4 linked regions of the Drosophila melanogaster genome follow. Changing the gene in region 2 together with the main gene of any one other region gives a genetic interaction. Each region holds a gene or a part of one and is shown on either strand. Other genes may lie near its edges.

Evidence for each region.
Region 1: of ea (region 2) and shn, changing one enhances a phenotype caused by changing the other (phenotypic enhancement), as found in Drosophila melanogaster (one study listed by BioGRID).
Region 3: of ea (region 2) and vri, changing one enhances a phenotype caused by changing the other (phenotypic enhancement), as found in Drosophila melanogaster (one study listed by BioGRID).
Region 4: of ea (region 2) and Spn27A, changing one suppresses a phenotype caused by changing the other (phenotypic suppression), as found in Drosophila melanogaster (one study listed by BioGRID).

The regions. Positions count from the first base shown.
Region 1 is NT_033778.4:11,170,772-11,178,414, forward strand, and holds the start of shn (schnurri), read left to right. Parts: upstream 1-3,031; 5' UTR 3,032-4,003; coding exon 4,004-4,034; intron 4,035-7,643.
Region 2 is NT_033777.3:15,325,678-15,332,323, reverse strand, and holds ea (easter), read right to left. Parts: upstream 3,596-6,646; 5' UTR 3,392-3,595; coding exon 3,331-3,391; intron 3,242-3,330; exon of another isoform or gene 3,145-3,241; coding exon 2,758-3,144; intron 2,694-2,757; coding exon 1,963-2,693; 3' UTR 1,916-1,962; downstream 1-1,915. Other genes in the region: Fkbp39 (FK506-binding protein 39kD), read left to right, coding at 1-620; mRpL9 (mitochondrial ribosomal protein L9), read right to left, coding at 767-1,441, 1,499-1,570; CG6236 (uncharacterized protein), read left to right, coding at 4,279-4,397, 4,544-4,694, 4,761-4,948, 5,011-5,614, 5,672-6,032, 6,089-6,393, 6,471-6,646. UniProt on the Drosophila melanogaster protein: Component of the extracellular signaling pathway that establishes the dorsal-ventral pathway of the embryo.
Region 3 is NT_033779.5:5,302,375-5,312,724, reverse strand, and holds vri (vrille), read right to left. Parts: upstream 7,076-10,350; 5' UTR 6,701-7,075; coding exon 6,559-6,700; intron 5,161-6,558; coding exon 4,813-5,160; intron 4,705-4,812; coding exon 3,005-4,704; 3' UTR 1,502-3,004; downstream 1-1,501. Other genes in the region: CG14024 (uncharacterized protein), read left to right, coding at 1-415.
Region 4 is NT_033779.5:6,669,567-6,677,009, reverse strand, and holds Spn27A (serpin 27A), read left to right. Parts: upstream 1-3,662; 5' UTR 3,663-3,834; coding exon 3,835-5,178; 3' UTR 5,179-5,945; downstream 5,946-7,443. Other genes in the region: Nse1 (Non-SMC element 1), read left to right, coding at 1-169; cort (cortex), read left to right, coding at 460-579, 639-770, 836-1,250, 1,309-1,680, 1,739-1,888, 1,948-2,210; CG34310 (uncharacterized protein), read right to left, coding at 2,485-2,704, 2,782-2,951; cup, read right to left, coding at 2,696-2,709, 6,497-7,246, 7,320-7,443.

The sequences.
Region 1 (7,643 bases), on a different chromosome or scaffold from region 2:
TACATAAATAAAACTTAAGCATTCCACAAGCGGCAGCCACATTGAGTGTGATCCATGTGCTCGTTTCATCCTGTTGAGTGCGGCTTGGGTTTTTGGACGGGTTTGCGTTGGCTGATGCGGTTGGACATCAATTTCCTATTGTGGTAGGATTTCCGCTTTCAGATTGATATTTTGTGTTCGCCCGAATTCCCATTTGGCCCAAAGCGTGGTCAAGTACTACACCCACACACACACACACACACACGCACACAAAGAAAGCCAAACTTAGCCGGGGGCATCGCATTCAGACTCCTCGGGAACGCCATTCGTTATGCATATGATCAATTAAATACAGAACATTTAACAGCAGCCATTTTTGTGTGGTCCGAAATACGGAACTAGAATAGTTTACCGCCATTTACCGAAACATAAAAGGTCATGGCGAACAATGAATTTCCTATTTTACTACTTTTAATCAATGGGATAAGGGAAAATAATGCTTGTTCATTCGCAGCGCTGGAAGTTCAAAAACGTCTATTATAATTATTAAAATCAAATGATTTTTGGGCCACCGTAAACGTAATAAAACGTAATAATTATTTTTGCAAAATACAGAGCTGAATATTAAAATGTTTCCTTTATCTTTTTGCCAAATTTCCATAATGAAAGATACCTTGCCATTTCACAAATTCAAGATCATACAATACAAAATAGCCTGAAACCAAATCGCAGTACAATGAAATCGTGGAATTAAATAAAAAGCCGTCCTATATTCAAATTATACGCTATTTACCCTTTTGTTTCACCCCAGTAACCAAAGATAAAAGGTTACGAAAAAATTTCGTCATTGAACTGAATTATTTTGTTTACCAACCTAAAAGAATTCCGATACAAAAATTACAATATACAAATTAATGTCATATTTGAGAACAAAGGCGTAAAAATAATTAGTAACATCAAACGAACAATCATCAATCAAATTAAATAGATTCCCAGGAAAAAAAAACTCTTTTAATATCAAATAAAACAACATATTTCTGAAACCCTTTTCCACTCAAATTGAAGGTATGAATAATATTTCTTTTTTTTTGCGCCAGTTTTTCATTCAGACACCCGTTGCGGTTTCTTTTGTTCATTTTATGGAAATTAAAATTGATGATATTTAAATTTGGTGATAATTGAACATTATTTTTATGGCACTCACATTTGCGTTTTATTTCTTTTGCTGGCTTATTTGGTTGGAATGGTTCTGTTTAGATAGAAGAATAGAAGTATGTAGCAAACACACTTTTTTGAAACGATGTGTGGAATTTTTATGAGGCAGCTTGTAAATAATTTTTTTTTTTTCTTCAATTTTGTTACTTTCGTTTTTCAACTGGATTTCCCTGACTTTTCAACAGACCGGTCTGTTTGATCCGCACTGTGATCCTTTCACGCGCTCTGTTATTTTCCGACTGCAAGTGAAATTCCGACGGACGTTTTTCATTTGGCGCCAAAGTGTTCGGCACCACGAATTTCCCCTCCTTCCAGCTTCCAGTTTCGAACTGCTTTCGCACTGGAACTGGAAGGCCTTCTAGCCGGGCGAACATACACACGCACACGAACAATTTCCAATTGGGCGCCTGCGCCAATTGTAAACAAAGAACAGCTGTTCGAACATAGTACATATATTCGTTTTCATTGACGATGGAGCATAGTATAACACAGGGGGGGGGGGGTGCAGGGGGGTTAACTCTGAACATAAGGATGAGTGATGTGATTAGGGTGGTCACGCGTGCGGCTCTAATAAATATCAATGATTTGTGAAAATTCTTAAAAGAAACAAACCACATTTATTGAAAGTCGTTTAGGCCAAACATCGTATATCTTCCCATATGAATTTAAATTGAAGGGCGGCCGTTGGCGTTTTGGGGCTGGCAAATGAGGCTCAAGGCCACGCCTTTTACTTGTCACTTTGGCTGGGAATTCTCACAGCTGTCAGCCAAAATCCCATCCACTTGACATCGCCATCGCCAATGTTCTGCGATATGTTCTTCTTTTCTTCACATATGTACATATTTTCGCCAGCACTTAATTTCCTTTGAAGCCGCATTATTTCAGCCTTTCGACACCAGGCGTTACGAGGCGTTGCGGCTCGAACAGCTTTCGACTGGGCCCAAAGTGTCTGCCTTAAATGAATCGGAAACATTAATGGCTGTATCAAAGAATAGGACGCCTTCATTTAAACGTCTTCATTTAATTCATCGAATTTGCTATTTTTATGCATATGAATATTAAATTAAGTCGAAACATTACTATCATTGGAATGGATACGATTCTATGTGCAGTAATTAAAATGTGTTTCAACAGAGTACATATCTTAGAATCAAACTTCATCTATAATTTAGAATAATTTTTAAACCATGAATTAAATGTTTATCTTCGTTATTTTCGCTGCGAGTTGCAGCAGCTAGTTTATAAGGTTTGTGTGTTCGTCCCACCAAGTTTATGATTATTAAAATATATTATAATGACATGTTTATATTTTTAGCAACTCCTTATAATTAATTTATCAAATCGCCTAAATCAATGCTTTTCCACTGAAGCACCATGTTGTTTTTTGATATTGCATACATTTAGGCTTAGAAAAGTATTACCTTTTTATCAATTGTGTGGATAATCTTAAAAATGTAAATTAGCAAACTGATAAAACAGACAACCCAGGTATTATCACAGCGCAGGTAAGCCAAGTAAATAACGCTTATCATCTGGAGCTCCTGCTATTGGCATTTAAGCTTTGGACACACACACACACACACAATACTGATAAGGCGACTCTCTTAGCGAACTCTCTTCGCTGCTCTGTGAGTGGGAAAAGAAAAAAGGTAAACAGACAAGTTGAAAGGCGATTTTCGATTGAAACGAAACGGCTGGTCGAATTGAAAGCCACTTACGTCGCTCTTTGGCTCTCTCATTTGTGCGCCAAAAGAGAGCTCACTTTGGGTGTGCTCTTGGCGTTCGGGCTTTTGGCTTTGGCTTTGGCTTTTGGGGGCCTAACGGATTCTCGCTGGCTCTGTTTGTCCGTGAACGCCGACGTCGACGCACGCCTCTCGTTTTCGCGCGCTTCTCGCACTTCTCGGTAAATGCGCAAAAAAGCCAGCAACGAAATCAAATCAAGTCAAATCGCAACGCATGGTGAATAACATGTCCGTTTTATTAATAGATTCCGCAACAGCCATATAGCGCATATTTCGAAAGAGATATATAATATATATGAAATAAAGTGAGGCCCTCGGATGAAACAGTGTTGATAAGGAGTGTACATACATACACACACGCAGCACATAAAACTGAAAGAATTCGCGGCGCGCGCGATTTAGTTGCGAATATTGCGTATACGCAGGGTCTGTCAAAAGTAATACAAATCAAACAAAACCTACCACAACAAAAATAAGGAACGGCATATCAAACCGAACATTTCCGAATTGAGGTTTTTTTTACACAGCGAGCAGAGGATACGCCTACATGGATTTATATAGCACAATTACAGCAACCAAGGATACTGAGACTTGGGCAGGATAGCAGCGATGCCAGCCAGCGGGTTGCAATCTCCACCAGGTCGACAGGCAAGCGGCATATCAGGATAATACCAGGGACTTGGACATCATGGCTCCTCTATTTGTCTAGTTGGCAAATACCAGCGAACCGGGAACCAGGCCACACACACACACACCCATACACTCGCTTACACACACAAACACACACACACGCGCGCGCTCATACGCTCAGACAAACAAGGACGCTTGTCATTGTGTGCGTCAAGGACGTCGACACACGTACAAGCTTTGTTGCTGTTGTGCCATACAAACAGACCAGAACCAGTGTCGCAAGTGGGCGTGCCAGCGGGTAGGCGGCCTCTGATTAAATATACATCAGTCAAGCGCAAGGATCCTAATTTCCAGCAGTATTGTTCTGTGCAAAAGGACAACGGGACAGCGGACAGCGGACAGCGCCAAAACGGGACACCAACTTTGAAGCAGGGAAAATGGCGCGACGCAAGGGCAGCGGTCGAGGCAGTAAGTACATTTTCCTGTTAATTATTCAAATCAAGCGTGAGTTCGAAAATATGCCAGCGAAATTCCGGGAAATTGCCTCTTCTCAAGGATTTTAAGCTATTTTGCAAACGTTTCCATAAAGTGTTTACAAGGAAAAGGGACCCAATATCCACAATTTCTATGCTGACTTTTCTTTGGAATCTTTATATTTAGTGGTTCTATTATAAGATCGAACTTTGACTGCTTTGTTCTTGATAACAAATTCACTCCAAGTAGTTTGTTGATTATTAAAAGAACTCCAGCGGTCTTAAAAAAATTGGGCTTCAGCTCAAGGACGACGAGTTTCACAGCTGCCATATGGCAAGACAGTAAGTCCTTGCTTCAGAGCTTCAAAGAATCTCGTCAAGTGCAGTGATTTTTTCTTGGCGGCTCAAAGGGAAAAATATGTAATTAAGAATGTATGTAGTATTCAGCCACGCCCCCACTCGAAACCTCTGGCTGTATCTATAAGATATATATTTTTTTGCATTATTATTTGTGTGCCATGAGTGCTCCACTCGCAAGAGAGAGAGAGAGAGAGAGGGACGGGGCGAGAGCAAAGAGAGGGAGGGCATGCATAAAACATGAAACAACAGCGTCAGTAGTCACTTTTCATTGCATTGCGCCCACGCCCAACCACCCACAGTCCCCTTATCATTTTAATTCAGTTGCGTTGGCGCGCGCGCTGCAAAATGTTGGGGATTCCCTTACGTAATCCCCCAGCGCACACAAAAGGCAAACAAACAAACAGGCACACAAACAAACGCACACTCACAGGGCAGCGGCAAACAAAACAAAAACACAAACGAAATGGGCAAAAGAAAGGGGGAAAAACAGAGAGCTGAAATAAAGGAAAACAGAAAGCGGGTGAAAAGCAGAGAAGCTGAAAAACAGAAGAAAAAAAAAACGTAAAAACAGACGCAAACAAGGCAGCTTGTTTGCCAGCCAGTCGCAATCGGAATTGCCCCATGTAAAATGGTCTGAAAATCAAGCTCAGCCAGCGTCATGAACTTTTGGCGCAGCTCACCCGCTCAACAGGCAGCCTAGCTCACAGATACGCAGATACAAAGATACAGATACAAAAGGCGCACAGTCACAGATACTCGACTTGCACATCCACAATCGCTATAGCCGAGATACTTTGCGTCACGTCACGCCGCCTGTTAGTCAAGTTGCTCTGTGCGCTGCGTTACTCATGCCACAATTTGAACCTATTAAAAAGCCAGATACTTTCTTGTGCCCGCCCCAACCCGCGACATCCGCAGATACTTTTGCCAAATGAGATACAAGTGTGCTGCCTGGCTTTTGATATATGCCAAGTACTGCTCGCTGGGCGGATACAGTGCGCATTCCATCAGCTGCAGCTAAATGCTTTAAATGAATTTACTTTTCATTTCAAAACCAAACCGACTAGGCAACCAGTAATTGAATATATTCAATCCGATCAATCACTTTTTTTTTATTGAACTTGATTTAATTAATATGTCACAACGTGAGCGTTTTATTTCGCCTTTTGAAACAATAAACCAGTAATTAAATATAACATTCTTAAATAAATATATTAAAACTATTTTATAGCATTTTAAACCAATTATGCTGAAATGTTATAAATATTTATATTCGAAATATTATTGTTTTAATAACAATAATAACAACTTAACTTTTTAAACAATGTTGTTGAGACTTTAACTCAACCATTTTGTTTTGTAAACCATGACCAATTGAAAATACTTGGCAACTTGGAGAGAGATTATTTGAAATACTTCTTAAATATATTTCAAAATCATCAAACCTTTAACATGAAAGTCGTCCTTCCATGGAGTACCCACTGTAGCAGGCGCAACATGCTCAAAGAGTTTGGCTCCAACTTGACTTCCAGCTGCCGATGGGTTTTGGTTTTGGTATGCAGACGACTTTGGGTATGGGTTTGAGTATGGTTGGGGGAATGGGAATAGGAATGGGTATGGGTTTGGGTTTTGAGTTTGAGTTTGATCTTTGAGGTTGGGTAGCTGGGCCGAAACACTTAAGCTGGCTTTGGCTTTGTCTTTGTCTTTGACTTTGCCTTTGCGTTGCCAGCGAGTTGGCCGTAATCTCTTTTCGCCTTCGTCTAACGACGTCAAAATTAAAATAGACTTTGCTCAGGGTTCTCGGAACCGTACTCGCATTGCCTTTTGCCTTGGCTCTGGGCCATTGTGCGGATAATTTATGGCGGGGGACTAGAGACCAGGGAATGGAAATGGAAATGGAAATGGAGTTGGGTGAGGAAATCCCACCCACTCCCTGCGGCTGGCATTTCCCCGCACTTTTATTTGAGAGTATTTTCATTCCATCGCTACCTTTGTTTCTGTTTCCCTTTGGCAACTTTGCTTGGCCCGTTCGCATTCCATTTTCCTTTTCGAATGAAAAAGAAAAGCCTTTAGTTTGCGTAGTTTTTGCCATTCAAGAGGGGTTGCTTTTCATTATGGCAGCCAGGAAGGAAGTGATGCAGGGCGTGGGCTTCGTGTTTGGAGTCCTCTCAAGTGCTAGCTAGTAACTGCCTATGTAGGTCTAGGTGTGGCCTAAACGAAGCCCATATCCATTTGATGATTGCTCTGATTCCGTTTGTAGCTCGGGATTAACTGGTTGGGTTAGAAGGGAAAGCTCTATTTGGCTTCAAATTGAAATCGTTTCAATAGATTGATTCCTTTGTGTTTAAAGATTATTATCCTTATTAATTATTAAATGATTCATGAACTTAACATTATAGCTTTTATGGTATAGTTATTTACTAACCTGGCTTAATCCAATACAATTTACAAAAATCAGGCAACAATCCCTAAACGAATACAATTTCCTGAGTCACAGTTTACCCAATCTGCCAAATTGGTTAGCCCCTTCTTTTTTGGGCCATATCATAGCCGTAAACAAACACTACACTTCAACTTTTCCTGGGACGCCTTTTAGGCCACGCCCAGAAAATTCTCTCTTCTGTCACCGCCCCCTCTCGACCACTAAAAAGGTCATGGCAGCGGGGAGGGCAACAAAAAGAACCAAAAAATTACAAAAAAACGGGAAGGAAAACAAGGAAAGCAGCGAAAATAAAAAGGGAAATAAATAAACGTGAACTGAAATCCAGGGCCCAACTTTACCTATGAGTTTGAGCAAAAATAAAACCCCATACCTGTAGCAAAAGGACCTGGCACACCGAACGAAAAACGTACATACTTACAAACAAACGTATGTATTTGCAGGGCAATGGCAAACAGCAAAAAAAAAATAAAAACAAGAAATTAAGGGAAAAGTTGGCAGCTGGCAAAAAAAAAGAAGGGAAAAACAAGGCAGAACTCATGTGCGTGTGTGTGTGTGTGTGTGAGTGTGCTGGCAAGCCTCTTCATCACCCAAATACATGCACACCACCCACACATTCAAGGCAAGTCTATGAAAGCGCAGGGCTTCCCCAAATGATAAAGTTTTATTTGCTTTTGCGGGCGCACATTGGATTCTTTTTTTTTTCAGCCACTGCTTTTTTCTTTTTTTTGTTTTTGTATATTTTGTGGGGCAGCTGGCAGCAGAGAAGCCGGCGTCGCCGTCGACGCCAGCAGCACTTCACCA
Region 2 (6,646 bases):
GTGAGGAGGAAGATGACGACGATGTTGATGAGGATAACGAGGAGAGTGGCGAGGAGGATGAACAGGACAGCGACGACTCCGAAGCTGAAGAGGAACAGCCAAAGGCCAAGGTTGCCAAGCTCTCTCCTGGCGCTAGCGCCAAGAAATCTGGCAAGGAGCAGAACGGTGTGGCCAAGAAGGAGGAGGCCAAGCAGCAGCAAAAGAAGAAGGAGAAGCCAGAGGCCAAGAAGGAACAACCCAAGGCCAAGGAGCCAGCCAAGCAGCAACCAGCTTCTAAGGATCCACGTACTATCACCGGAGGCGTGAAGATTGTGGATCAGGTCGTCGGCAAAGGCGAAGAAGCCAAGCAGGGCAAACGCGTATCTGTTTACTACATCGGCCGCCTGCAGTCGAACAACAAGACCTTCGACAGCCTCCTGAAGGGAAAACCATTTAAGTTCGCCCTGGGCGGCGGAGAGGTCATCAAGGGCTGGGACGTGGGAGTCGCCGGCATGAAGGTGGGCGGCAAGCGAGTCATTACCTGCCCCCCGCACATGGCGTACGGCGCACGGGGAGCTCCACCGAAGATCGGACCGAACTCCACTCTCGTCTTCGAAGTGGAACTGAAAGCTGTGCATTAGTGCACTATATTAACATCATATAGACTTGTAATCCTAAGTAAGTATCCACGTCGTACAACTTGATAAAAATGTTAAATAAACTCTGTTTTCCGGCTGTTCATAAATCAACAGTTTTGTAACAATCGCATGTATTTGGTATGGGGTCTCTAAGGGGTTTTTTCGGGTGAACATACATCCAGCAGGGGCTCAGACTGGAGTTTCCAGTGCTCGAGTACGTAAGGCAGCCGTTCGCTGGGATCTGTGCTCCAGTGGTGCAGACGACACTTGAGTCGCGCCTGTTCCAGCTTGTTTATGGTCACAGTGCAGTAGAAGTCCTTGTTCTCCTTCTTCAGGTCGGGTCCCTCGATGCGCTCCTTGGGCAGGGTAATGCACTCCTCGCGACAATAGAACCCAGTCTTGCGCAGCGAGGCCTTGATGTGCCAGGGCTCGAGCACCCATGGCTCATCCTTGTTCATGACCACCGCCAGCACAATGGTCTCCAGCATGTTGACCGTGCGCTGGGCGTAGGGGGAGCTGTGTTTAACAGTCGATTTTTCAGCCTCTGTCTTGGCGTACTTGGCCACATTCTCCGGCGTATTGTACGCGGCCAAACCCGGCAGCAGGAGCTTATTGTAGACAAAGTGCGGCTTCATTGACACCACGTCGCCCTTGTCGCCAACGCCCTCGACGAAGGTCTTTAGCACCACCTCGATGTTGGGCCGCTTTTTGACCAGCGTGTCGTCCACGAGCTCGTAGATGAAGTTCTTGGCCCTCATCCGGCGGGGTTTCTCGTTGGTTTTGTGCAGCGGCGGGTCATATTTGCGCTTCAGGACGAACGTGGTCTGGAAGCAAATTGGTGGTGAATGGGGATCGCTTCCCTAATCCAGGAGAGCACTTACCCGCACTTGCTGCTGCAGGCTGGTGGCCGATTTAAGCAAATTTAACGGCGTTACGTAGATGTTCTTCAACATTTTTACCACCAATATGTCTGCGTTGCCAGACTACTCAGCCAGTTTGCAGTGTTGCCAGATATGATTATTTAATCTGCGTGAGTTCAGCAGTAAAATTTTCAGTGACTTTGAAAACGATTATGAATTTAGTTTTTTTATTGCAACTATTTCTTTACATTTTAATAAAGCAAAATAATTTGCCCAATTTACCTTTTAATTGATTAAAAAAAATGTACCTTTGAAAGTATTATGACTGTCAATTTTAATTTAATAGTTTCATTACAAAATAAAAGATTGACTATGCCAATATTTCGGCGAACGCGCCCATCGACATGCAGTATGCGTACACGCTGTGAAGCAGTTTTTAAACGGAAACCGTTAGTCGAATTTATTTACAATATGACATTTTACAATCAGGACTCAATAGTGTTTTGTATCCAATCAACGTACTTGCCCACCAGCGTGTAAACTCCTGGCCATCCGGCCAGACCGCACGGAGTCGGTCCAAATGACACGACGCCGGCCAGGAAGTAGTAGGTGTTCACCTTGTTGGTGTCCAAGCCGATGAGCGGTCCCCCGGAGTCACCGCGACAGGAGTCGACGCCTTCCTTGCCGCCGGCACACATCTGTGTGTCCTCGAGGAGAATGTCCTGGCTGCTGTAGACGTTCTGGCACTCATCCATCCGGAATCCCTCCACGGCTGCCTTCAGCTTGAGGTTGCTGGCCGACAGCTGCTCCGTTTTGCCCCAGCCGGCCACGTCCATGGTGATGCCGTCGAAGGTGGCCGACCGCAGATTGACGTCCAGAGGCAGGCAAATGGGTCGCACAAAGTCGGTGTACTCCACCTGCTGGGCCAGACGCAGCAGGGCTATGTCGTTGACCTGGTTCTTGGAGGCCGGTATATAGTCGGGATGGGGTATAGTACGCTCCACGGGCACGTCCAGATGCGGTGGCGCGCAGTCCTTCATGCCGCGCACATCTACTTCGCAATCGGGATTAGTGTTGGTGTCCCATTCGCCCAAACGAACACCGGACAACCGCCAGTCGGTGGGCAGTGCCTTTCCGTTGACACAATGCGAGGCTGTGATCACATATCTTGTGCTGATCAAGGATCCGCCGCAATGGTGACCCTTTTTGCCCTGGCCTGCATGTAGGAATTAACCAGTGGATAAGTGCGTTCAGACTTAAGACGATGCCCCTCTACTTACTTTTGGTGTATTCAATTAGAGCCATCCAGGGGAACTCGTCGATCTTGGTCTTCATTCCGCCATAGATGCGATTGGACAGGATGTTGCCGCATTGTCCTGGCAGCGGCAGAAGGCTGTTGCTGGTTACATTGGGCTTGGGCGGTGGCGTCGTCTCCGATGAGCTCTCCCTGTAGCGGTCCGGACAGCAGATGAGCACCTTGCCGTTCGTATAGCCGCACTGGCTGCGACTCAGGTAAAGCCGGTCCGTGTCCCGGAGCGGGGTGGTGGTCAGCAGGCCGTATAGGTACTTGCAGTCCTCCAGATGGATGCACAGCGCACGCTCCCGATTCGGCGTTATGCAGCGCCCATAGTTGGGCACCTGGGCCGCCTCGTTGGGGAAGTAGAACTCTGGAAATCCAGACTTTAGGTTCAGAGAGCTTACCAATATTGTGAATACATAAATTAGGTCATTAGCTATGGAAGTACGGAAACAGGTTTCCAGCGACTTGTGAAGGCCCGCGGCAAAAAAAAACAAATACGTTAAGCTAGTCATGTCCAGCAGATGAGCATCTTGGCAGTCTTCTATTTACTTACGGCCCGCCGATGATTTCGCCAAAATGCCCAAAAAGAGGCAGATAATCGATGGCTTTAGCATTTTCGTTGCGCAATCGGACCTCGTTAGTCCTTTCTCAAGACGTCGTCAGTGGTTTGCGGATAATGTTTTGCCTAAAAACAATATTACAGACCGACCGCAGAAGCAGTTATCAAAATAAACGGCGCGATAATATGGACGATACCAGGTGCCACAGCGGAGCGGAGTGAAACGAAGAGGCCGAAGCTGAGCTTGGCGCACAACTGAATCTTCGGACGGACGCGGTTCTCGGCCTGCGAGCTTTGTCGCAAGCTTTTTGGCGAGTCTCCAAATCAGATATGAAGATAATCGTGGGAGCAGATCTTTATCTCTCTTCCAATTATTATTCTTAGTAATTGTCAGTTGGCTTATTTAACTTTGGTACTAATAGAATTTACTTTGTCACATGCTGAGTGTAAGTAAAGTACTCGGCAAATTTAAGGGAGTATCTACCATTATTTAATCCCCGCCTAAGTTCGATTGTATCACATGGTGTTTTGATAGCAAAAAGCACTATCATTAACGATAAGCTAACGGTATATTTCGTTCTACAGCAAACTGAAAGTTCTACCGACTTTAAATCGGACCTAAAGCAAAGTTTAAAGTCGCAGTTTAAATTGCAGCGGTCGCGTTGCCAAACAACACAGTATGACCGAATTCGCAATGTTGTTTGCCACTGTTTTGGCAACTCGCATATAGCGGTACGTCGCAGCTGGTGATAAGTTAAATGTTTAATTTAAAAAATGAGCGTGGATATTTAGTAAAGGTCGAATAGGCGGCAAGTTTGGAGATCGGCAGTGGTGTAAGTAGTACGTCGCTTGAGTGCCGAGTGAGTGCTGTATGTGCAGCAATAATGCGAATGCAAGTCTCATGTGTCTGGTCCGATATTTGCAGCTCATAATTTATTCAAAATGCGCTTTGTGCGGCGGGGAACTGTCCCCAAGATTGCAGCATGTTGCTGTGTGGTGGTCCTGCTGGTCACCTGGTATGTGTTGAACGTGGAGCGGGATCTGGATAAGAGCCTCAAAATGTAAGTATGTCTAGTTGTGCGTCACAGCGGCTTGGGATATTGATTGTACGATGTTTGTCCATACATATGTATATGTACATATGCGCATATTTGTGATAAAGAGTATTTATCTTTTGCAACTAATTCAATTTTGTATTTAATTAAAGCGAAATCATCGAGCGCTCCATAAGATCGGCTGTGAATCGTGGCGAGTGCCGGCATCCCCATCTGCCGCTGGACAATCCGGACATCATGAAGTTCTACAAGCCGGTTGAGCGAATAAACTGCGGCGAGGGCATGGACTGGGTCATGTGTGAGGTTGGTTGGGACTGGGCCCCTTCTACAAGAGCTGATTGCTTAACTTAAACCTCGTTTCCCCCAAAGAAATCCATTTGCTTTGTGCGACCAGAGATTGCGTCCAGCCACGAGGATGTGATCTGCTCCTACACGGACATTATTCGCAAGTCGGACTACAAGGTTCGCTTTGGGCAGTCACTGCGCATGAAGGAGCCCTATGTGCTGCAGGCCAGCGACTTTGTCAAGGTGGTCTGTCGATCCTCCAGCGGCGAGAGGTGACCATTATCTTATTTTATAGTTATGCCTATACTTTAAAGAATGATCTTCATGTACTTAGTTGGTTTGGCATGGCCCACGGAATACGGGATACGGTGCCCCGTCCACCGGCCTCCAATTTCTCCCCGAACTTGGCCGTCCTACCACCCGAGGCGGTTGCGCAGGCCCAGCAGCAGATGCAGGATGGGGCCACAGCTCCCATCTACAATGTCCTCATGTTTGGCTTCGATTCGCTGAGTCGCAATGCCTTCATTCGCAAGCTGCCCAGGACCTACGAGTATCTCACCCAACAGTTGGGCGCCACCGTTCTCAAAGGCTATAACATTGTGGGCGATGGTACGCCACAGGCGCTGGTGCCCCTACTGACGGGTTTCACGGAACTGGAGCTGCCGGAGACAAGGAAGCGGTTGTCCGGGGCAGGCAGCGTGGATTCGTATCCTATGATTTGGAAGGATTTTGCCCGCCTGGGATATATGACCTCCTTTAATGAGGATTTGCCCAATGTGGGCACTTTCACGTACCGCATGACAGGGTTTGAGGCCCAGCCGGTGGACCACTACCTGCGTACCTACTATGTCCAGGCGGAGCACATGGCCGCCGAGAGCAAGCCCAACTGCATTGGCCACCAGCCTGATCACATCACCATGCTGGAGTACACAAAAAACGTATGTTCTCTTTCGAAATGTGCTTGGAAACTAACTCATTGTATAATTTTCGTACAGTTTATGCTTAAGTATCGCGATGCACCGCGCTTTGCCTTCAGCTTCCATGGCGGCTTGTCCCACGACTCCATCAACTTAGTGGGAGCAGCGGATGATGATGTCCATGACTGGCTGGTGGCGCTCAAGGAACGATCGCTGCTAGACGACACCATTCTCATCATGATGGCCGATCATGGCAATCGATTTGCCGAGGTGCGAGCCACTCTGCAGGGAAAACAGGAAGAGCGTCTGCCGTTCTTCAGTTTCGTATTTCCCGAGTCGTTTAAGAAGCGCTTTCCGCAGGAGTACAAAAACTTTCTGGCCAACGAGCATCACCTGACCACGCCATTCGACATTCATGCCACGCTGAAACACGTAATACGTATGTACGACAGAGCGTTAGACATCTACAAGATAATAATGCTGGATTTTTCACAGAACTGCAAACCGCTGTGGATCAATTTGGAGAAATAAACGATCCGAAAACTGAAACAAGCCCGCCTGGGATTCGCATCTCGGAGTTAGCCCGTGGACGTGCCATGTCGCTGTTGGATCCAATTCCGAGCAATCGATCCTGTGCGGATGCCTACATAGAGCCTCACTGGTGTGCCTGCCTCAATTGGCTGCCATTGCAGCTGAACGACTCCCGGTATACGGGCATCATTCTCAAGGCTGCCCAAAGTATTGTAAATGCCATCAACTTGGCCACAGTCGAGCAACGCCAATACTGTGCACCTCTGGAGGTTCGAATCATCAATTTAATGATTACATTTCCAGATAAGATAAAGATCATACTTCCATTTGTTTCATTGTTCAACAGATTCACCGTGTAAATTGGGCGCTGCGTCTGCAGCCGCACAAGGAGCTGCTGCAATTCAGGACAAACAGCGACCGCGACGGCTTCCTGGCGGACATGACGGGTCAGACGCTGGTCCGCGATGAGATGTACCAGCTCCAGGTGGTAACGATGCCCGGCGAGGGACTGTTTGAGGCGAG
Region 3 (10,350 bases), on a different chromosome or scaffold from region 2:
GCCCTGCAGCGTTAACTTCACCATCATCGGCAAGACGGAGACGTTCCAGAGGGACTCGGAGTTCATCATACGGCAGGCGGGCCTGGAATCGCTGCTCCTGGGACTGGGCAAGCTGCCGCAGCGGAAGCAGCGCAAAATTGGCAACCAGGCGCGAAGTGGCGTTAAATCCGAGGCCCTGGTCGAGCGATACTTCGCCGATCTCGACCGCTCAACGTTGGACCAATTGCTCAAGATATATCGCATCGATTTCGAGCTCTTTGACTACGACTATCGCAGGTACTACGATATGGTGCATCCGTGGAGTCTGGAGCAGAGCACTGCCGCATCCGGAGGGCCGGCAGTCGCATCCACCAGTACGACACCATCGATATCCTCTGGCCTGGCTGGCCAGTCCACCCAGGGTCAGGCGACGTAGGTGCAGTGGTGTCAAGGAGTTTGGGATCGATCAGTCGTGAAACAATCTTATCATGTACCTTTTTACACGAAAACTCAGACCACAGACAAAGGAAACACTCTCACACGATGAAAACAGAACCCAACCGAAGCTAACAAATCTACCAAAAAGTTTATGGCCAAATCAACGTTTTCCAAAAACGAAAAACCAAAAAAAAAAACACTCTTGACCTCTCTTAGATAATGCCAAAAAAAGAAAGCAAACGATGTAACGATTCGAAAGGAAACTTAGTTAGAAGATTTAGCATTTTGATGGATTTTTTCAGCCACCAAAAATTCGGACAGGATACCCTACAATTTTACATGGCGTGGCATGTGTGTTGTGTTGTAGCTAGTTTATAAGTACCTACAATTTACAGATGCACTCTCAAACCAAACGAAAACACACACCCACAAGAAAAGCGATATATTATATATATATAGATATTATAGTTAAACGATATATACAGACCTCTTTACCTATATCGCGAATGCTAATCTTCAAGGCAAGGCTGGAGAGTTTATACAACCAGAAAGTGAGAAATCGTCTTACACCAAATGAAATTCTGTATTTACACGTATTTACAACCGAATCCCCAGATACCAAAACCCTCAAAAACCACAACATATGGTACTTACTATTGTTAAGTTATTATATATACCTATATATTAACGAAATTTATAAACAGGTCTTGATCTAAGTCTATAACTTTTGTGGACTCTAGATACGTTTTTCCTAGGCTAACGAAACAAGCGGAAAATATTCGATTTCCCGATATGAAAAAATTATGAAAATGATACCAAAGAACGAAAGGAAAGTGTTTAGAACTTATAAAAACAAAGGCAAAAACCCAACAGAAAAACTTTTCATGTGATGTTTAAGGATTTATTATAAAGACAGAGAATATTTAATTATTATACTTATACTGTATTTCGAATGATAATGATAACAGAGAATCGAAAAGTAACACGATATTATTCTAAATAAATTTAAATTTTCAAAACTTTTTTTCGTTGTATGAATACAAGGCAACAAAGTTATTAAGAATAAATAATCTCTTTACCACTCGACGTACCTGAAGTTTGAAATCATTTTGGAAAGTTTTCAGGTTTTCAACTAACTCATTCTGCAATATGCGATAAGCTCGTGCGATGATGGTGATGTAATATTTTTAAAAAGCTGTGTAATAGATTAACTTGCACTTTGCTGATATACAATAATTGTGTATGATTCACACCCAACAAACCGGCGAATATTGAAGTGCAGTAAACAATTGGCAGTAAAAGACCTTTGCTGGTTTGTTTCATTATTATAAATAGTTTATTTTCATTGATCAACACAAACGAGTTATTTTAATATGCATATAGATAGGGCTGTATGTATATAGTAGTAGTCATATGTATTTTCTTGTGTGCTCCACTGCGATTATTTGTAAAGTGTAATACAGCTTTAAAAGTGAATGCTCGAATTACGACACCAAACGATCGATCTACTCAGCTAGATGGTCTACAAATAAAATGTGTGTTTTTTGTGTGGCTTAGAGTTCTTTTTTAGTTTTGTTTCTAAAGTTTTATAAACTTCGATAACATTTAGTTGAAGCGCTGTGAGCCACACGGGTGACCGAAGCGGCAAAAAACATAAATAAATGGCGAACGACAAACATTAAGGTAGGAGGATATTTAAAATTATTTATTGCAGAATTTATTCATCAATTCTTTTCAGATTTCTTTCATCTCTCACGTTTTGAATGTGCTTCACGCGTTTCTTAAGTGTAATGTATATGTTTGTTTCACTACATAATAATAATAATAATAATAGTACTCAATACAAAGTAAAATAAAATAAAATAAAATAAGCTTAGCTTGCAACTAAAATTATGTACATGATAGGAATATAGATATCTGTATAGTTATATAGTATATATAATTAATTGTGTAATATGTACAACAGCAAATACTTTGTAACGTTTGCTTACAAACATAATAATTCTTTATCTTCTCCACTTTCGCTGTGCATAAGGAAACTTGGGATGCATAAGAGAACAATAACGTGGCTGGTGACCCCGATGCTCATCGCAGGTCACCAGCTAGCTATGCAAACAAATAGCTTGTGTGTATACAACAAACAGGTTAAATTAGAAATTCTTTTGGGCTGACCCTAAGGATTTTTTTTTAGCTCCGAGTTGACGAGATCTATATAGTTAAACATTCACGATTACAAGACTCAATACAGTGGATAGATAAACATACACACAGATAAGTGTTGGCCAGTTTCGGGCCACAGGGTCTTGTGTCAAATCCTTGTGGTCCAGACCTGGCCCTAGAGTTCTACATAGAGATGGAGACATGCATGCATCGGTATCTAATAGTTATCACTCGGTTTTGGACATCTCTACTAACATATGCTTAAACCAACTTCTTTGTCCAGGAGAACTACTGGCGCCATGGAACTCTCTGCTTTGCCATCTACTGCTCTGCTCCCCCGACTCTGATCCCTTCAGAGCCTCTGTCTCTTCGCTCTCTCTCCTGATCCGCCTAGTCGTGATCCTGTCCAGCTTGGACAGGGGCTTGCTTACTCCGCCAAGATCATCTTGATGCTGGCCACCTCGGACTCTAGGCGCTCCAGCTGCGACTTGAGCATTTGATCGCGCTCGGCACTGGTTACCACATTGGCCTCCTTGGGCGCCAGTAGCTTCCTCTGCAGCTGCGCCGTCCACTCCGCACTGGCGATGGAGATGCCGGAGTCCCTTTCGTCGCTGGAATTGTCGCCGCCATCGTTCCAAGCCGGCGGCGATGCCCGACTGCAGTTGGGCTCCTGCTTGATGTGCTGCAGTGAGAGTAGCGCCGTGGCCGCCGCATCCTTGTCGCCGAGATGGGACTTGTGGCGCAGCTTGAGGGGCAGACAGTTGTTGGCATCGCTGCCCTGCTGCGGACTGCTTCGCTGCAGCTGCAGTGGAGCCATGTGCGCTGGTTCGTGCTCCTGCTCATCATCGCCGGAAACAGCTCCCGATGAGGAGGCCGAGGAAAGAGTGGAGGAGGTGGTGGAGGAGAGCATGTGCTCGTAGCTGGGTGAGCAGGCCCGACGCGATAGATTCAGCACACTGGCCGCACTGCCGGACACCGATGAGCTACTGACCGCATCCACAGCACTGCTGCTCACAGCAGCCTCGACATTGTGGCTCCAGGCTGCAGCCGCTTCCAGGTGATCCTTATAGGCGCTGGGAGCGGGCACGTAGAGACCAGCAGATGGTGGCGGTGGTGGTGCTCCCACCACGGCTGCCGCATTGTATAGAGCGCCGGCGGCCACCACCTTGCGCAAGCTGTCCAGATCCTCGGGCCTGACATTGCGGTTTAGTGCCTGCTGCAGTTGCACCTGGAGATTGGCAATGGTGGTGCTTGGCGGGCGGTTGTGCGGATCGGAGATGACTGGCGAACTGGAGCCGGCACTGGGACTTGGCTCCTGCTGCTGCTGTTGTTGCTGCGGTGGCTGGGAAATCTGCTGCTGCTGATGCGGCTGATGCTGCTGCGGCTGTGGCTGGTAGAGATGCTGTGTCTGGGACTGGGGCACAACCAACTGTTGTAGGTGCGTTGGTGGCGGCGCAACACCCGCATGATGTATGTGGTGGACACTCTTAACCGTGGCCTCTGGCCGGGCATTGCCATTGGGTCCGTAGATCAGTGGAGATAGTGGTGGACCCACCGGATAGCCATTGTGGCCACCTTGAGGCGATCCCTCGCCCGATCCACTGCCCGAGGGCGAGGAGCCCGAGGAGGAGCCACCACTGCCGCTCATCTTGGCGCGCTTTGTGTTACTCAGCACCTGTTCGCTGGTGGGCAGCGAGGCGAGGATCTTCTCCACGCTCACCAGATTCTCGCCGGAGATGTTGAACTTGTCGCGTATGGCGTCCAGCTGGGCCTTCAGCACATGGTTCTCTTTGGTCAGCTCGATGACGCGCTGCTCCAGAACCATGTCATTGTAGCGCCTCTTCTCTCGACTCCGCTTGGCCGCCTCGTTGTTCCTTCTCCGGCGATCCCAGTAGCTCTCGTCCTTCTTGTTGTCCGGGGTGAATTCGCGTTGCTTTCGCTGCGAGAAGAGCTCTTTCTGGGCGGCGGTCAACGCCGACTGCGGTCCATTGCCACCCTGTGAGGGCGACTGGGCCATCATTCCATCTCCATAGCCGCTTCCCGGGACATATTTGCCCAGACTGTCGGACATGCCGCTGTCATTTGACTGCGGACTTATGGATCCTCCGTACATGGACAACGGATGCACTGTAAGGAGAGAAGGGCATAGGATTAGTTCTCAAGCTTTGGAACTATAGATGGATAGATAATTGATATGATCAGAGCCACTGCATCATTATATTCTCGGACACTTACAGTTAGAAGCCTCGTTGGAGCTGCCGTTCATCGAGAGAGTCGGCGATATATTGGATAGCCGGACGTTGTTCATCATGGCGATGTTGGCTTTGTTGTGGCTGTTGGTGGGCGTGCCGCTGAGGACCTCGGGCATTGCTGTGGACACAGACGCCTCCGGATAGAGTTTGCCCGGCGGCGCTAGCAGGAGCAGCTTCTCCTCTTTGCCTCCGGTGGGGGGGCGTGGCCCGTAGGGAAAGTCGCTGCCGCTCAGCTTCTGCTGGCTGTAGTGATGCAGCTGCGCTAGTTTCTGCTGCAGTTGCTGCTGGTGTTGCAGATGGCTGTTGTTGCTTTGAGCTTGGATGCGGGGAACTGCAATGCAAAGATAGAGAGGTTAGTCTCTTTGACATTCATAGTTCCTTAAGAAGGGACGTATTTTATTTTATTATATTGCTAAACTTATTTATACCTTTAAAAAGTATTGTATAGCACTTTTAAGATCTTTTAAACTATTTCAACTATTCTCTGTTATGAATTCAAATTAAAGCGTTCTACCAATTTGTACAACACTCATTTCCTGCGCCTGGAAGCAGACTACACTTTTTGCAGCCCCGAAAATAATAAACAAACAAGACCTTGCCCCCAATTAAAAGCCAAGATTGCGAAGAATATCTCTTTCCTGCTACCAAAACAATATCACTTATCACCTATTTATGGCATTTCTTTCAAATGTTCTTATCTAGCTACATATGCGACATTTAGAAAATATATACATATTTAGTAATACTAATCAGGCTGAGCATTTGATAAGCTAACAAATTGACAAGGCGTCCGCCACTCAACGCAAAACTCGTTGGGTCCCCAAAATGTCTAATGCGATCTTGTCTGGCCCAACGCACACACAAACATGCAGAACTTTCTTTGTTCGTTGGTCCTTGCCCTTGCTGCTTGCCCTCGTCTATAGCTTTACCGTTTGCTTTCGTTTTTAGCACAGGCATTTACACAATGATTACGCCGAATGATGCAAGAATCGGCGAGTGGGAGCGAGAAAGAGAGGGAGCGAGAATTAGACGACAAAGGCGACGAAGAACCAGCACAATCACACACACACAGACAAAGTGTTAGAATGTAAACAAGAAATCGCACATTGCACATCTGTGTGTGAGTGCGCCCCCGCTCCCGTACCCTTAGACATCTTTCTCCCACTCTCTTTCTTTCTCACTCACCCTCACCATGACCATCGAATTGGCATTTACAGTTCAATGTGCTCGCAGACACAAACACACACACACACACACATGCACGTACACTTAAGCGCTCTGGCGGCCAGACTCTGCCGACAACCCCTAAACGGGAGAGCAACAGAGAGGGCAACACAGAGAGCAGCGCTGCAGTCGGCATCTTGACAAAATTCACAAAAACAAAATGACTAAGCTTCGCCAGTCATTCCACCGCACCCCACTCAGCCCCCCATTCACCCACACTTTTTCGGGCTATTTTGTTTTGCGTCTCAATCTTTCGTGTGTTATTGTTTTCAGCCGACTAAGTTTAGTAAATATTCTAGAACTGATTAACAGTTGCCACTGTACTACGCAAAAAGAGCAGAAATATTTAAATATTGTGATTGTCATCAGTTTTCACACAAATTCTCAACAGATTTCAAGATCAAACGTGGAAAGTTCGAAAATGCTGCTCAAAGAAGCACATAGTTTTAAACTTTTCGTAACACTGATTTATTTGTTATAACTTTCGTAGCACTTGAACACCTACATTTATTGTTGCTGGGATTATCCTGCTTGTAGTTATTGATGTAATTCGTATCCGTATTGTTTTTGAGTATCAACAGATTTTTGGTCGTTGCAGCCGCTTTGAAAAAGTTCACTTTCTGTTCCAGCGTGCAGACAATCGACATAATGTTTTGTTGTTAGAACGAACAAATTGGCATTGTTTTTGTGTGCGCTTGCAGATATTATCCAAATCTTTTGAAAATTGTTTTTCAAACACTTGTGCAGTTCGGGGTTTAACCAATTTGACCGATTTAGTTGGCTAACGCGACGTTTCTGCGCTTGATGCACTTGGCCGAAATGCTTTTAACGGCTCGACCGACGGCTCTCACTTGCTTATCGCGGTTGTGAACCCGATCGGCTGTATATTATATGGTTTGGTAGTATAGTCTAGAGACTTATCGCGAGCGCCTGAACCGCTTCGAAAGAAGGCTGAATCGCAATTGAATTTGTAAAAGCATTTCTCCGACGAGCTGCTCGGCGGTCACGTTGTGGCAACACGCATCCGATACACGCGACCTAGCGTGTTCGCTCGCAACATGTTGCGAACGGTTCGATGCAGTAAAAGTGAAATTTCTCAATCGCCGCTTCGAACATGTACCAGCATGCCCGTTGCAAGCGATCACATTGCCGTTGTTGTTGAGTAATCAGCGCGGCAATCTCGGCAAGAACAAAATCGTTTCGAGCTGCATATTCGAAACTAGAACGTGATTGCCTGCTGCGGGGGGTGGGGTAGCTCTTGCCAGCGGGTTCGCTCTTGACGCTCAAACACACACAAGAACGCACACACACGTAAGGTGACTGAGGTGCTTTGGCCGCGTGAGTCCGATTTCGATTGCGATTCTTATTCCCATTCTGATTCCGATTCTCGGTACTGGTTGTATTCATTTTTTTTTACCCTTTTTGGGTTCGATGTGTTCGTGTGAGTATGCTTGTGTGTGTGTGCCAGTTGGGTTGGTGACGCAAGCGTCTTACACAAAATATTCAGAGAACCAGCAGCACATTATTAATAATCGAGAATGCATTCAAATGCACACATGCAAATGGCTGGGGAGTTGGGAAAACTGATTTGAATGAAAAGCTTAGGCAAGACACTTTTTTAAGTTGCATGTAAGAGTGGATAACTAGAGGAAATTTCCTTACGTATTTAATTAACATTATGAAAGGTAATTAAAAATTTAAGAACATTGATAAGGAAGCAAAAGTATTTGCCTTAAGATGTAGCTTATTGATTTGATTTTAATGTATAGCATTAAAGTACATACACATACGTACATATGTATATTTGAAGTTCCAATCAGTGAATTTTTGGGTTTCCCCACTCTACAAACATATTTGCGTTCAGAATAAATTCCCAGAAAATCTAATTCGAGTAGAGTAAACAGTAAACAGTGCTAGCTAACTATTGAACTCGTCTAAATCTGCATACAATTACCAATTTATTTAATGTACGACGAACAAATCGACAGATCACGTGGCTTTGAAACTTTGGATAGTTTAACAAGGGGAATATATGGTCGTGCCGATAACTTCCCAGCCACCAAACTGTCTGGTTGGCTATTACAAAACCACTTCACAGCTTATATAAATCATAATTAAGTGCTTAACACTGCGATACGGTTATCAGAATGGATGGGGTGACTATCAACTTAGTTGCAGTGGAAGACAAAGACGGCTATTTAAGTACTACACTAGGCAAACAACGAGTTGTTGTAAAAAAGTAAGGTCGGGAGATATTACGTAATTTCCTATTCACCAGGCAGTAAAACACTAACGCGGAACAAACAGTGAATAGTATCGAATCGAAAGAAGAAATTCCATTGAATTCGCATAAAAACAGTTCTCGATGGCGATTACCAAATGCCAGAAAACCGGAAAAGTGGAGAATAAATGAAATGAAATACATATGTATGTACATAAATACTGATTAAAGTGCAATACATAAAGTGCACTTTATCAGTGCTAATAATAGAACTAAGAAAACTATATTGCATTAAGTCAGTAGACCACTGTATAATGTTAGTGTTTTAAAGTACGAGCCTATAACTGACCTATCCTCCTGGGGCATAGCAATTTTCTACTAAATATCGTTACCTTATGTAATCTGGCTATACACTTGGCAGTTTCAATTGCACAGCTTCCAGTTCCATGATCATGAGCAAATCTCAATTACGCGATCACTGCGCGATATCCACGTGAGTCGCCCGATTCACGTGTCCGGACCAATCGTAGTCGGATCCGTCGGGATGGTGGGCCAGACCCCCCCGACCAACCCCTCTGGGATACCCCGTAATCTGCGGCACATCCATTATCAGTATGCAAATATGTATGTGTAATGTGGCCCTTATCACACTCCACTCTGTTTGCTGTGGTGTGCTGGTTTGTGTAGTGTTTTCTATACTAACATTCTGCCCCGGGATGCCAACACTCATCTTTTGGTTTGTTTTGACACACTCATACTCGAATATGGTATAGGGTATAGGGAGGAATTGCTGTAGTTAGCCCAAAACGGTTACGAAACACTTTCGTCGTCGACGTCGACGTCGACTGTGTAGTCTCGGATTCTGCTAGCACCCCGTGAAAAGGCGATGTGGAAAACCCCCTGCTCCACCCCTCCCCATTCCACTGCATCAGCAGTCAAGTTATAGCAGCGCTATTTATATTTTCCGCAGCAAGAGGCGTGCGCGCTGACTCGACGTTCGCCGCTGGACGCTCCACGTTCGACAATCGGCAATCCAGCAATCCCGCCACCCGGCAATCCGACCACCCGGCTATCCGGCAATCGGCGGAGCGGTCACGTGTCGTGGAATGTGAGGCACCAGCGGCTAGTGCAACGCTCCCCAACAGCCGGCCTGCGACGGCTCACATGTTGGCGACTTGAGTCGGCTACGCAAGCCAAATGGAAATTAACGTGTTCTCCACTTATTGCGTTTGTTCCCTAGCTGATACAGTGGTCCTTCGAGAGAAGGAACTGCTATCTACCTAAGAAGTAATATCTAGCTTATAACCTGATATTTACAAATAATATTTTTGAATTTTTCCTCTAAAAAGATGCTTACGTATGCGTAATATTATGTATACGCATAGTGTGCTGTATAAAGTATACGACAATATTACGTATACGCATAGTATGCTGTACTTCGTATATGCAATATTATTACAGTTCACTTTTGTGAATTTCCACTGTATCTAGATTGATTCCAATACTAATATTATTTTTTTTTCCATAACACCCTCCATATGTGCGACTTGCAGGGGGGCCCAATCCCAATAGAAAAAAATGCAAATCTTCGCAAGAATTTTGTTTGCACATTGCATTGATTGCTATACGCCAAAGGTTTTTGTTGTTACTTGGCAACGTGCTCGCTGGAATTGTGCCGCTGCGGTAATTGTAGTTGTAATTGTCACAACATGTAATTCTTACTGTTGTAGTAAGCAGATAGAAACGAATAGGTGTATACCCTATAATGCGATGACTTAGGATGACAAGTTATACTGCCTAGTATACAGTTAACACACATTTAAGTTGACTACTACTTCTAATCTTGGTATAGGTCATTTAGGAAAATCAATTTCTAGGAAATGCACTTGAGTGAAGTGTTAAAACGATTATAACAGACGATGAAAGTCCACGTTATTTAATCAACTTAAAACAAATAATAATTGTCTGTGGCTTCAAGTTACTCACATTATTCGTATTTCCATTTATGACTTTTTACTTTAGAACTCAAATTAACATCGCTCACTATTTCGTTATACCCGTCAAATAATAGGTGAG
Region 4 (7,443 bases), on a different chromosome or scaffold from region 2:
CATAAAAAACTGCACGCTGTGCAAGTGCCTGGTGTTGTGGGACATTCGCTGCGGGTCCTGCAACATCCAGTACCACCGCGGGTGCATCCAAACCTACTTGCAGAGACGCGATATTTGCCCCTCCTGCGGCAACCTATGGACAACTCCAATAAGACGCTCCATTGGTTAATCATTATGTCCGCGACATGTACTATAGATTTTGATACTAGAATAACAGTAGTCCGCTTTATTAACTAAATGATTTCAAGGTAGAAAATAAATAATTTAAAGCAACATCTTAACTTGAATTTTAAAACATCTTCATGTAAAGCATCGAGAAGTATAAACTCCACACTTTAAATGGCAAACATTAAAGAAGACCAAATGCACTCCTATCGAGTGTTCACTGTACTTGTAACTGTAAGTTTTTTTTGATCCGTTGCCAATTTAATATGGCGCTAGCAAAACAGAAATGTTTCAATGTTCGTCGAGATGAGTGTGTGTGACAGTCCCAATAAAAATTCCAAGCTGGACAAAAAGTCTCTGACGCCCTTCAAAAAGGTGCGGCGGAAAAACTGGAAACAGGAGGCGGCCTACAAGGTAAGATGATGGGCCTCAAAACAATTTGACCACCTAAACGTAGTTTTCTTTTCGCGCAGAGTGATACGAGCAAGGGGCAGGAGGTGTCCTATGTCGGCGAAAGATTCATACCCAACCGATTTGAGCGGGAGAACATCGAGTTCAACCTGAAGTACATTGGCAAGCGGAAGGAGCGAGATATCCTCGAAACGGTGTGTGCAGTACTTCTGGCTATATATACTTTCCATTATTAATTGAAAATGACTTTTACAATCAGGGTGTCACTTTGACCGCCAGCTACTGGCGACAGAGCGGCTTCATATCGAACATCAACCGAACCTTTGGCATCGGAGAGCGCCGCCTGTTTCAGTTTAGCAGCCAGCAGGGCACAAGATCCAGGGTGGTCGATAACGACTCCGCCGATTCGGACTGGCCATGTAATCCACGGGCGCGACCATATGCCATTCAGAATGCCACCCATGAGATGCCTGGCATATGCAGTCCCGTCGACTACAACATGATGGACTGGTCGTCCGGCGGCATGGTGGCCATGTCCTCCGGACAGGATGTCATGCTGTGGCGCAATCTGGACGAGAGCACCATGGTCTTCAGCGTCGAGTCGCCCACTTCCCTCAAGTACTCGCCGGATGGCAAGCACCTGGCAATCGGCTGCATGGATAGAAACTATCCAGGTATAACAGACCCTAAGCAATAACTTTGTAAAGCCCTAACCCTCCTCTTTCGTACAAGTTCTGGACCTCTGGGAGGTGAGGTCGCCTACGGAGTTCTTGGTCTCCTACCGCAAGCTGTTCTTCAAGTCCATGGGCTACATAAGTTGCATTGAGTGGTCCCACGACGGCAAAGAGGTCATCTGCGGCACTCAGTGCGGCGTCATCATCGTGCTGGCCATGCCCACGCTAAACACCCTGATGCAGTTGCGCGAGCATCGACACACGGTGAAGAAAATGAAGTTTGCTCCCACCCATAAGTATTTCGCATCCAGTGATACGGATGGCAAGATTTTCATCTTCGATGCGGTGCTAAAGGTTCGCCTGCTCAAGTTGGACGGCAGGTCCATAGTCTTTGACTGGCATCCGTGGACTGGAGAGGATTTAGCCGTTGGTAAGATAGTGGCAGATTAATTATTAGAGTATCTGCAACATGAATATTATCTTAACAGCGGAGCGAAGCCCTGCGTCGATCTTCATATTCAACATCCCGCGCCGACAATTTGTGGCTTCGTACAGGCGCAGGGATGACAGAATCGTTATAAAGACACTAACATACAGCAAAATCACGGGCGAGTTGCTGGTCAACGTTATTCGGCGTGGTGAGAACTGCACTGGATCCTTAATGCTTGCTAAAAATAATGTATTCTAATATCTACAGATGATGCGGACCTTGCAGTGTGCGAAATTCTGGTCTTGGCCTCCTTAAACCGCGTGGTTGACTTGATGTCCCATCAGGATCGCGGCACCCTCTTCCTGATGTGGAATCCGGATGGAACGAAAATTGCCACCGGCGGACTGGACGACACCTTTTCGCTGTGGAACTTCTTTCCCACCTATAAGCGCGAGGCGATATTGAGAAAGCAAGAGCAAAAGGCCAAGGACAAGTGCAGCTCCCTGAGCCTGTACAAAGGCATACGGTGAACAGAGCACAGTGATTTTTAATTGTTTATGTTTCTAGTCTTTTATTCAAACCATTTGTGCTTTTCATTATTTATTCAATTCATATTACTTTCATAAAAAATCCATTCTGTTTAACTCTAAAATGAACACAAGAAGATGGGCCTCTCCACCCAAAGTGAAGGTAAGAAAGTAAAAGTCCATTCATTGTTCACCATGTTACAGCGTTGAAATTTGGTAACTAATCACTAGGCTATAAGTATGTAAAGATGTCTATGACGGCACTGGCAGCCTTGGCTCAATATTCGCTCCGTTTGGGTCTTGACTCGCCAATCTGGGAGTGAACCTCCTGCTGGAAGAGGTACTCCGCACTGGCCTCGGCTTCCAGGCGTCGTTTCTCGAGAAGATAGGGTTTGATGACAAGGCGATGGGTGGTGTAGAATATAACAGTCGATCCAATACCGATGGCCATCAGACCAACCGTCGTTGTGGCGAATCTTTTGAAGCCGTTAATGAAACTCATCTGTGGGCGAGAACGGAATTCAATTAATATATGACTTTAGCCAGCAGATTAGGGTTTAGTGTGCGGGCTAACTTTGTGGTTCCACTAGTTTCAGTTACTGCTGGCGTTTCTGCCTCGGTTTTCTTCTCGTTTTTGTACTTCAAAATCAGCGGTTGCCAAATGTAAATACCGCCTAGCAGCCCAATGGCCGTGACCACCATCAATTGCGGAACAGTGACACCACGCGGACGACGAATTTGCATGGCACGTGCGGTTACTTTGGCTATTTATATTTATTTCTCATTAAATGCACAAGTTTCTTTCGCCGGCTGCTGTTACATCAACGCACCATGAGAATTTATTTCAGATCAGCTGTTTTGTTTAGCCGACACTTACCAACACTGAGTTCTATAATAGTTGTCAGCGTGGCCAGACTATCCCCGACACAACTTAAGCTTATTTGAAATTCAAATTTCTATTAATAGCTATTCATAAACTGGCTTGAGTATTTGCAGCGGGCGTGAAAGAAACTGTGACGTAGTTTAAGAATAATAACATTTGCAAACTTTCCTCTTTGATGACTATGCAATAATTCACAAATAGCTGAAGTGGGGAAAGCCTAATAAAGGCGGATATTGTTCGCAACTAATTTGTACAAAATAACAAAATAACATTCATAATGATGAATGATCCTTAAATATTTGTATAGGTTTTTTGGTTAATCCTGTCAATACAGGCATGGAAATTCTCTGAGTGCACTGATGCACTGTATAGTCTAGTCGTTTCCCTTCACTTCCCTCATCACTTAACCACACTCATCACTTTGCGATAATGACGTACGTATGCTTTGGGAGTCCCAACAAAAAAAACACACATGCGCTGCCCCGTCGACGCGGCAGCACAGCAGCAGAGGACGGCGTCAAGAGCGGCTTGAAGCTGGAGCTCGATTTTAAAATGGCCAGCCCGCTCGGCGCACCAGTCACTCTCAGTTGGAACGGCGCGTGAAACGGTTATCGCTCGCTCCACCGGCGCTCTCTCGCCGCTCGCCCCACCAAAGCCCGCATTTAACAGTTGTTTTGCTGCGAATAAGAGGCTGAAAGCAAAGACCCGAGGAAGATCGAGACGCAGAAGCTTAGGGAAGCACAGATGACAAAGATGGGCGGAAATTTGGCAGTGATGCTGCTGTCGCTGTTTTTGAGTGCGTTAGCCACGGGCAACGGCAACTCCATACCGACGACCACGACGCCCCAGGGCGTATTCGAAACCCGTACGGACAAGCTGCCCGGTGGCGCTGCCAGCGTGCCCAGTGGAGCGGGTATCTACGACGATATAGATACCTTTGTGCCCTTCCGGAGCGACTCGCACGATCCGTTCTCATGGCATCTACTGAAGACGGTGCTGCAGAACGAGACAGCCGACAAGAATGTGATCATCTCGCCGTTCTCCGTCAAACTGGTGCTGGCCCTGCTGGCTGAGGCGGCCGGAGCCGGAACCCAGACGCAAGTGGAGCTGGCCAACACGCAAACAGACATTCGATCGCAAAATAATGTGCGGGAGTTCTACCGCAAGACACTTAATTCCTTCAAGAAGGAGAACCAGCTCCACGAGACGCTCAGTGTGCGCACCAAGCTCTTCACGGACAGCTTCATCGAGACACAGCAGAAGTTCACGGCCACGCTGAAACACTTCTACGACAGCGAGGTGGAGGCGCTAGACTTCACCAATCCCGAGGCGGCGGCAGATGCCATCAACGCCTGGGCCGCCAACATCACGCAGGGCAGACTTCAGCAGCTAGTAGCCCCGGACAACGTGCGCAGCAGCGTAATGTTGCTGACCAATCTGATCTACTTCAACGGTCTGTGGCGGCGGCAGTTTGCCACCACATTCCAGGGATCCTTCTTCCGCAGCAAGGACGACCAGTCGCGGGCGGAGTTCATGGAGCAGACCGACTACTTCTACTACACCACCTCGGAGAAGCTGAAGGCGCAGATTCTGCGTCTGCCCTACAAGGGCAAGAACTCCCTGTTCGTCCTGCTGCCCTACGCCCTGAATGGCATCCATGACTTGGTCAAGAACCTGGAAAACGACGAGCTAAAGAGCGCTCAGTGGGCCATGGAGGAGGTGAAAGTGAAGGTGACGCTGCCCAAGTTCCATTTCGACTACCAGCAGAACCTTAAGGAGACGTTGCGCAGCCTGGGTGTGCGCGAAATCTTTGAGGACAGCGCCTCGCTGCCGGGATTAACCCGCGGCGCTGATGTCGCCGGCAAAGTAAAGGTGTCTAACATCCTGCAGAAGGCCGGCATTAATGTGAACGAGAAGGGAACGGAGGCCTACGCAGCCACCGTTGTGGAGATCGAAAACAAGTTCGGTGGCAGCACCGCCATCGAGGAATTCAACGTAAACCGGCCGTTTGTGTTCTTTATCGAGGAGGAGTCCACTGGTAACATACTGTTTGCCGGCAAAGTCCACTCACCCACCACCCAGAACTAAGCCTCTCAGGCGGTTTTATCTTTAAATACGCAATAAATATACAAACAAATGAGAGTCTCTGCGCTTCAGTTAACCTTAATATGATGTGAAAAGTGTTGCAAGTGGATAAGCTTTCTAATACATTTTGCTGAATCCTACAAACGAGAAACGAATCTGTGCTCTTGACCCCTTTTTCAGTAATCGTGCGTGGCGACGATTCCCCCAGCGAGTCGGTTCCCATCTACAGGCCACAACATTCCGCTGGCTGATAAAGCCACTGGTGCTGTCGTTAAATGTTTGTTTTTATATTTATGCCTCGCCCAGGCATGCCACGAACAATTGAAAGCAAAAGGCAGCAATCAAGTGAGAGATGCAAATACCTGCTAACTCTGGGAATGTCCCACGAACGTAACATCGGCAATATCCAATGGGGAGATCGATGGGTAACCGATTGCGCACATAGTCGACGGCAAATAGAACCCATGACTCAGGGGGCTGGCTGAGATGTTGTTCGACTGGGAAATCTTAAGTTTGCGTAGTTAGCCACGTTCTGGTGATCTCTTGAACAAACAAGGAAGCCAGCTAAGCTTGGGAATTTAAGCGCAGCTTAGAAACAAGTATATGATAAAGTTTGTTAGCTTAATACAATTCAATTGCTATTCATCAATGAAATCATTATAAAAGTCCTAATGTTTTCTAGGGCTAAACGATGTATTAACGAAAAGTGTAAACAAGGTCTATTAGTTTAAAAGAAAAAACATATATATATATATATATTAAGCTCGACTAAATGCCCTATCTCTCATGTTTTATTTATCTTTCTGATTCGAAACTCCAGCCAGCTCATCCTTGTAGAGGCGTTCAAGTGATAATCTGAATCAACAGCTTGTAAATATATCGCAGATGTGATCAAGTGCATTGCAAAGTGTGCAATGTTTGCAGTAACAAAAACCCGTTTACAGATAATACGTGAAAGTGGTCATCAAAGTGCATATTTGCTCTGCTTTCGAAAAATCAGCCTGAAAATTGACCGTCTGACTCAGACACATAAGCGAAATACCAAGAAGGGGAGGCCATTAGGCAGCTTATTAACTATAATATTACCGTAAATGATAACAACTCAGCACAAATGTAAAAATATAAATTTCCTCCCTTGGGTATTAACCCGACTTTTAGAACTATGACCATAACGCTGTCAAGAAACTACAAATCTAACTGTTATATGTGATGACTTTGCTTTCAAAGCACAAATGATAGGGTAAACTTAACGGAGAGTACCCACTGTACGATTGTATCATAATATAATAGATCTTCTAAATTAGGTACTAAAATGACTTACCCCCGCTGTTGGGCAGCATGGAAATAGCTGATTGAGCTTGCATTTGGGCCTTATTGAAGCTATTGACAGCTCCAGCGTTGTTCTGATGAAGCGAATTCAGCTGTTGGGGCTGCTGATGGGGATGTTGCTGCTGAGACTGTTGGTATTGCTGCTTGTACTGCGTGGCGAAGTGCGGCTGGTTGGACTCAAAAGATTGGAAGTTTTGGTTATCACCGAATCTCAAATTGGAATGATGCTTCTGCGGCTGTCCATTCATAGGATAACCAGAGGCGTGGTTATTGCCACCGCCAGAGATCAAGGCATGGAGCAAGGCATTCGAGTTGGCATCTGGTCGAGCCTGGCGTTGCTGGCCACGGTTTAGATATTGCTGCTGTGCCTGATGCTTGGCACCGCCATTGATAAGCTTCGAGGTCTGCTCCTCAATTTTTCGCTTCATTACGGCGTTTCGCATTATCACATTGGCATGCGCTTGCAAGTCCTCCTGCGACAGTTGGTGCGGCGCCTGCGTCTGTGGATTATGCTGCGGCTGCTGCCTGGCTGCAAGAGTCTGCTGGACAATGGCCAAGTTGTGGAGATTCTGCAACTGGCTGGCGATGACCGTGCTTGAGAGCATGTCCAGCTGCTGCTTGTGCTGCTGCTGCTGCTGCTGGGTGTTGGTGAACTGCAATACAGCAGTGATGGCCTCGCGATCCATGTCCGTCAAGCGTGGGTTGGCCAACTGCACCAGCAATCCGTGCTTGGATATTTCCCCTGGGAAGTAAACAAACCAAAGAATCATATTGAAAACATGGAACTAACTTTGTTTTCATCATCCAATCGTCACCTTTAGTCAGACGGAGCAGTAGCAATTGGGTGTCGGCCCGGCCGAGGATCGCCTTCAGCTGCAGGCTCGCCAAAAAGGCGGTATGTTGCTGCTGCTGCTGTATGATGAGGTGCTGCTTCTGTTG